Rattus norvegicus: one gene and its partner. The protein of the gene in region 2 purifies or fractionates together with the protein of the main gene of each other region. This does not show direct contact. Links are inferred from orthologs where the notes say so. Each region holds a gene or a part of one and is shown on either strand. Other genes may lie near its edges.

Region 1 (3,914 bases), on a different chromosome or scaffold from region 2:
AGTTCAAGTGGTTCCTTCTCTATACATAGTAATTCTGGGCCTCAGCACTGTGCTAAGTCCTCTCAAGAGACAGGTGGCAGGGTTAGGATCACTTCAAGCAGCTGGGTGGAAGATGGCCTGTGGGTTTAGAGTCCTAAGCCAATACTACTGCTTTTGCCTGGAAGCCATGATGGATAAGGGACCAAACAACGAGGGAGAACAAAGCCCAGAATAAAACATAATAGTGGCACTAGCAGCATGTAGATGTAGGCACTAAAAGCATGTAGATGGGCAAGTGCGGATGCAGCCAGGATAGATAACTGGAGAGGTTCTGAAAGAATTTGGGGGGGGGGGGTTGGGGATTTAGCTCAGCGGTAGAGCACTTGCCTAGCAAGCGCAAGGCCCTGGGTTTGGTCCCCAGCTCCGAAAAAAAGAAAAAAGAAAAAAAAAAAAAAGAATTTGGGTACCAGGACTACTCTGGTCAAGGTGAAGCATTGGGTGTGTACTGAGCATGGGTTGCAACCTCTTGTCTGTAAAATGGACTACCTGAGAGGTGTCCGACTGTGCTCCAGAGTCCCGATTTGACTGGTAGATGACATTCTTAAGTGCAGTAATTCCTTGTGTACACATCCATCTTCTTGGGGCGTGGCTGACCGAGGGTTGCGGCCTGTCAAGTAGAGAGCTGGGTATCCATGTTCCTGATACTGTGGCCTTGTGTACGTAAGCCTGTGGTGGGGCATCATGGAGTTGGCTCGTTGCGCCTTCAGACTCAGCAAGAGCTGCTTTGGGGGACCGTATATCTGTTATGTGTGTGTTTGTGTGGAGAGGTCCGGTTACCCAGAGGCCGTTTCAGGGTAGCGTTTGCGACCAGACATAGGTGGTCTGCCTTCAGTGTACTGGCCTAGGGTTCGGTGATGGCCGAGGTTGTTGAGCGCGCTCAGGGCTGTTTCCCATGCCACCTTTCGGGACGAGCAGTAGTTGCGGCCCCATTGGGCATCCTCCGCGACTACGTTCCAGCGGCGCTCCTAGTTCACGCCCCGCCTCCACCACCGCAAGACACTGCTTGGCTCTGGTTTCCTTCCAATCTTGAGTACGCCGCAGCCCCGCCTCTCAAGACCCTGCCCCTTACTCTTCTGGTCTTCAGCCTCCCACCCCGCCCATGTTAGAAGCTCCGCCCCACACCGTGGTTCTGCTTTCACACAGAGACCCAGCCTCCGCAGCAGTCCCGCCCCACACCACGGCCCCGCCCCCGCACTTCCGGGCGGCGCCGGCGGGGGCGCTCGGGCCTGGGCTTCAGGGCTCTGGGCTCCCGGCTCAGGGAAGCGCTTGCGGCCGTTGCGGCCGGTGCCGCCGCCGCCGCAGGAGCCTGCCGGGGTCGGGCTGGAGCCTCCTTCCAGAGTGGGCTGGTGAGAGTGAACAGCGGGTCTTGGCGGCGCTCTGCGGCCTGCCTCGCGCCGCCTCCAGGCCACGGGTCGCCGAGCCGTCGCCGCCGCCGCGATGGGGGCCCCTCAGGGCCGCGCCCCCGCCGTGGCCCGCCCGCTGAGCCGCCGCTGAGCGCATGGGCCTCGCCGGGCCGGGAGCCAGGCCCCGGGCCGCGCCTCCACAGCCGCCGCGCGCTGGTGAGTAGTGGGAGCCGGCGGGCGCGCTCCTGTGGCGCGGAGGCCTGCTGCCCGGGGCTGCGGGAGTAGGCCGCGCTAGGCCGGCGTACGCGGACCCGGAAGAGAGGGGCGCGCGGGTTGCGGGCGGGAGGCGTGTCGGAGCGTGGCCCGCGCTGTGCGAGGTTGTGCCCGGTGTAGGGAGAACAGAGCTCCAAGCGGACGCTAAGCAGGAGAGGTGGCAGGTTCCGCAGTATGTGTAGAGGCGTGGGGACTGCCTGGTATGCTAGACATATTGGGGAGAAGGGCTTTGAGGGGGCGATGTGCTAGGGACGGGATGATAGTAGGGCATGAGGAGAGCAAAGGCCTGTGTGAACAGGACAAGGGAGTACGGAAAACCAAGGATTCTAAGAATGGTCTACAGTTAGGTGTGTGTCTGCTGAGCGTGGTATACTTGTTCATGGGCCGGGGACTCGTTTAGGATGTGGGTGAGTTGGTGTTGAGGAGCTGCTGGTGGTAGACTATGTTTGTGTCCTCCGAACTGGGTGTGTGTGTCCTTCCTTCACATCATCCTAATCCCTATGAAAAAGTAAAGTAGGGTCAAGTAAGAACAATCCAAGGAGGGCACTCTATGGTGTGGTTTGACTGGCCAAATACCCACTTGTTCTGGTGTCCATTGCCTTACTTATGCTCCCCCAAAACAAAATACCCCCCTCCCAACCGAAACCCAAAGTGCACATTTTTAGTTGGGCATAAAGAAAGTAGAAAGAAAAAAAAAAAACCTAAGGATTTTTCTCAGCTCATCTTCAAGATAAACGTGTGCATTTTTCCCTTTTACTCTGACAAGTCCATTTACTCACAGCCAGTTTGGAGAACATGGGAGTCTGACTTTACCTGAGAGAGGCAGTACTGGCTGATTTCAGTTTTAGAGCTTCACTTCAGGATCAAGAAAGTATATGAAGCACAGGGATTCTGTTTGATTTTTCAGCAGTATTGACTTGTGCTACATCTTTTGGAGAAACAAAGTGGGTTTTATTGTCCGTTAAGACTTTATTTGAAGGGGTTGGGTATTTAGCTTAGTGGTAGAGCTCTTGCCTAGCAAGCGCAAGGCTCTGGGCTCGGTCCTCAGCTCCCCCCCCCCCCAAAAAAAAGGACTTTATTTGATGGGTGACTGGATTAGATATGAAATGAGAACCCTGACCTTTCAAGAATTTAATCAATGGCTCATTAGTAAAATGCTAGTCATATTATTTTCACATTCAACCTAAATCATAAGCTTATACTCTGTGTGTGTGTGTGTGTGTGTGTGTGTGTGTGTGTCAGACTTGTATATTACCTTTATGGAGTTACTTTATAAGTGTTGGTTGCAGGTTTGAGGCTGGATTTGGTACTATGGGTTTTAGACTTATTGAATTATCATAGCTGCTTTTTGTGTGGTATTTCTGTGTACCTTACCTGTTAGGTGTCCTCTGTGGGAGCCCAGGGATTATTGGAAATTGGGCTGTTTTAATGTTAGTAATTTGTGGGAATGTTGATGTTCAGGGACAGGTGCAGGAGTGCAGGCCCCTCTTTCCTATGATGATATCTTAGATAAGAGCAAGGAGACATGATGGGCTGCTGTGGTGTTTCAGATGTCCAAGATGCTTACCACATGTAGACAGAACTCCCAGAAAGTGACTAAGTTAAGGAGAGGTATAGGAGGTCTGTGAGCAGCAGGAGACCACAGTCATCGGCTGTGACCTTAAGAAACAGGCTGATCCTGCTGAGGCTGAGATTATAGCTTACCTAAGAAGTCATTAGTTGCAGAAATATCATAATTGTGACCCATCTTTTATTTGTACATGCCTCTTCCTTCTAGCCATTAGTAATCTAGTCATCAGCATCGTTAGCAGGTAAAGTGTGTATTGTGTGAGAATGAACAAAAGATGGATTTCATGGAAGTCAGGGCTCAGCACTGTAGAATGGTGACCAAGGACAGCATCTCCCTTTTTGGTTGTTGATGTGTATCATGTTTTTTGTTTTTGTTGTCTCTTGTACCCCAGACTGCCCTCCAACTCTGATGTAGCCAAGAATAACCTTGAATTCCTCATCCTTCTGCCTCTACCTCCACACACTCATTTTTTGCAGTATTGGGGATCTGGGGATGAAGCCCAGGCCTCAAGCTTGCTAGGCAACACTCTGCCATCTGAGCTACATCCCCAGCCCATGACCTTGAACTCTTTGATTTGTTTTATTTTTGAGACAAGGTTTCTCTCTATAGTCCTGGCTGTTCTGGAACTCTGGCTGCTCTGTAGACCAGGTGGGCCTTGAACTCAGAGATTCACGTCTCTTAACCTCCCA
Region 2 (3,200 bases):
AGAGCCTCTAGATTTTCTCTTTCAGTTCGTAGGTATTGTCACACCCAAAACTGAGTGTGGTCATTCTGACTTCTCTCCAATGCCACGATTGCAGCAGTCACGCTTGAAGCTGAGGTGATAGGACATTGCCTATTCCCTTCAACTGTCAGGACACTTCAAGAGTCACCCACTCTCTTCAGTCCATGCCACAACTTTACTTCACCCACTGTGAGACAAGAGACCCCTCCCCAGGATAGAGATCAAGACTCTATACTTCACCATGACCCAGGTAAACATGTCGACAGACCTCTGATTCTGCTGACTGAATGCCTCCAGGGACCAAAGGCATTGTCTATGACATGGCCTGAGCAACTACAGCCTGACAGAGTCGAATTCATAGCTCCATCCATTGGGGTCTACACAGATGGGATGGTCAGAGGGCCACCTTGGCCTCTGGTCCTCGTGATTGGCACCAGGGATGAGCCCGAATGCCAACACAGCTTGAAGCCCAGGAACACATCATGCAGGTCCAGTGCAAAGTGGGAAACGCCCTGAGCCTTTGAGCAGCATGTGAATGATTCTCTGTACAGGTCAGGTCCCAACCTGTCTCCGCCTGAGGGGGCTTGATAGAGGGACAGCCATGCACAAGAGGATGCATGTATGGCGGCAATCCAGTGGGGTGAAATCTGTCTTTGGGAACAGGCTCAATACTCAAATACTCACGAGGCACAAAAGAATGGCAGGTATGTTTTAAAAAATTAAGTTTATAAATATTTTCTCCACTGTACAAAGTTTTCCCAGCCCTGCCCACCCCTTCACCGCTCACATTTCTCACTTCTTAAAAATCCCAATTATATTTATTTTTTAAATCATAAAATATATTTTTCCTTTGTTCATATTTAAAAATATTTACAGGGAGGCAGCGAGGCCGGGGTGGACGGCCGAGGTCAGGACGAGTCCGTGCAGGGGGATGGAGGGGGTGGGAAGAGGTGGCAGTAGCTTCTCTCAGTGACAGGAGAGGGTGGACAGCTATCCTCTGCAGACAGGTACTGGCTGTGGGGAGTGGGCGGGGGCGGGTAGGGGTCTGAGTCCGAATTCAAGTCCAGGTAGTACTTGCTGGTCTTCCAGCGACTGGTGCTGTAGTCGCTGTCACACACGTCTGTGCTGCAAGGTGTTGTTGGGGGTGCCATACCTCGAATGATGTAGGGCCTAGAGGGAACAAAGAACAAGTTCACTTGAGTGCCTAGCCACATGTGTATCAGGCCTTTGAATTGCTGGTCCTTAGAGTTTCTACAAGCAGAAGGCCTGCTGGGTGGCCTAACCCAGAGTTCAGTCTCTTTCTCCCTCTCTGCCTCCACAGTCAGGGCTTGGTAAGAAATAGATCCCTGGTTCCCTTCCAGACAACAGGTCAGCAGAACCTGTTGGCTGACTGGCAAGAGCTCACTTAACCTCCAAATTTTCGTTTCTCAAAAGGAAACACCCCTGCTTTGGGGGTTGTATGTGCAACCTCATAGGCATGTGTGAGAGTGCGTGTTCAAGTGTATGGAGGTCAGAGGTTGACCTCAGATGTCTTCCGAGTGATAGGTCACTCTCCACATTATTCTTTGAAGCAGGGGCTCTCATTCAACCTGGGCTCATTAATTTAGCTATCCTAGCTGGCCAGTGAGCCCCCAGGATCCTCCTGTCTCTGTTTCCCAGGTGCTGGGATTCTCAGAGGCTCTCCACGTGTGTGGCCTTTTACTCCATTCCTAATACTGTGTGTCAAGTAATCTCCCCAGCCCCAGCCCAGCCTTATTTCTTAAGAGGATTGGAAAAAAGAAGTAAGAGTCTATGTAGAACATGCCAGAAGCATAAGTGCCTACAGGAGAAAGTGTTTAATAGCTATTGAGTACAATGTTCTTTCCTGTGACCGTTGAGAATGTGTGATTCTAGAAGTCTTTTTTTTTTTTTTTTTGGTTCTTTTTTTCGGAGCTGGGGACCGAACCCAGGGCCTTGCGCTTCCTAGGCAAGCGCTCTACCACTGAGCTAAATCCCCAACCCCTAGAAGTCTTAAGTTAAAGCACCCTGACCTTGGTGATGTCTCCCAGCCTCCCAGTGGCTGAGAGGCCCAGAAATTCTGCATCAGGGCCTGGGTCCTGAACTTACCAAGGCAGGGATCATGGTTTATTTCAGAGTCTGGACCCACCATACTGGGGTCACACTGTGAGCAGGAATGGGAGGCTGAAACAGTGGCAACACGCATCTCATGGAACTCGGCCTCGGCCAGGCCGTGAAAGGGACAATGCCTTGGAGTAACGCCAGAGCAAAGGCAGGCAGGATGGAAGATTCAGGGAACGGGCTTTGCAGGCCTGGATATCTCCAGTCTGGGGACAGTGGCAGACAGAGCTGCGGAGTCAGTGACAACTCTGGGTTGGCAGCACAGGATGCATGTTATACTTTGACACTAGCAGTCACTGCTGGTGCTTGAGCAGCAGTGCAGAAGGGGCTGCAAGCCTGGGACAAGTCCAGTGCAAAAGTTCCCAGAAATGGCCACTAGAGGGCAGACAGGGACACCCTGCAAGATCCAATAGACCAGGGACCCAGGTAGTGTGGTCCCCCCAGAGCCCTGTAGGTGGGGCCCTAACCCTCTTTCCAGGCCTTGGCAGGTAGCCCTCTGGGGCTGAGGCCAGAGTACCTAGAGGGTAGCCTCTTAGTTATACCCACCCTGGCACCCTAGGCTCCCTAGTTACTACAACCACAGCAGTGTACCACCATCCTGCTTCTCCGGTTCATTCTGGGGCCACTCTGTCACAGGATGTGAGTTCTCTGAGCAACATGAGCCATTTTCATCAAATCAGCTGAGTCTGCAAACCGGAGCCCATCACCTGCTGTCCTGTTAACTGATGTTCCTTGATAGAAAAAGTGGCCGGAGAGGACACTGATAGTTCAGTGGCTCCCCCACTGCACCTCCCAGCCATTTGTATGCAACTCTGCTCTAATTTGTTTGGCCTGGGGTCTCAGGAAGATTTCCTGAAGGAAAGCTCCATCTATACCACTGGCATCTACGGTGGGTAAAGACTTTCGAGGCGGGGCAGGTGCCACTGTAGCCCTCTAAGACAGACCAACCAAGAGACTCACTAGTTCTCTGGTGTGAATGTTGATGGAATCTCACTGGGACCTTATGAAAAAGAGCAAGCTAGGCATTTGTATCACCCCAGTATTAGGAATGTTCATAACACCAC

What was found.
Region 1: the proteins of Lrp5 (region 2) and Axin1 purify together in Homo sapiens (affinity purification with western blotting; 3 studies listed by BioGRID). This does not show direct contact. The link is inferred for Rattus norvegicus from reciprocal best matches to the Homo sapiens genes LRP5 and AXIN1.

What each region holds. Positions count from the first base shown.
Region 1 is NC_086028.1:15,666,659-15,670,572, forward strand, and holds the start of Axin1 (axin-1), read left to right. Parts: upstream 1-1,299; 5' UTR 1,300-1,598; intron 1,599-1,718; exon of another isoform or gene 1,719-1,855; intron 1,856-3,914. UniProt on the Homo sapiens protein: Component of the beta-catenin destruction complex required for regulating CTNNB1 levels through phosphorylation and ubiquitination, and modulating Wnt-signaling.
Region 2 is NC_086019.1:210,242,776-210,245,975, forward strand, and holds the end of Lrp5 (low-density lipoprotein receptor-related protein 5), read right to left. Parts: intron 1,189-3,200; coding exon 927-1,188; 3' UTR 726-926; downstream 1-725. UniProt on the Homo sapiens protein: Acts as a coreceptor with members of the frizzled family of seven-transmembrane spanning receptors to transduce signal by Wnt proteins.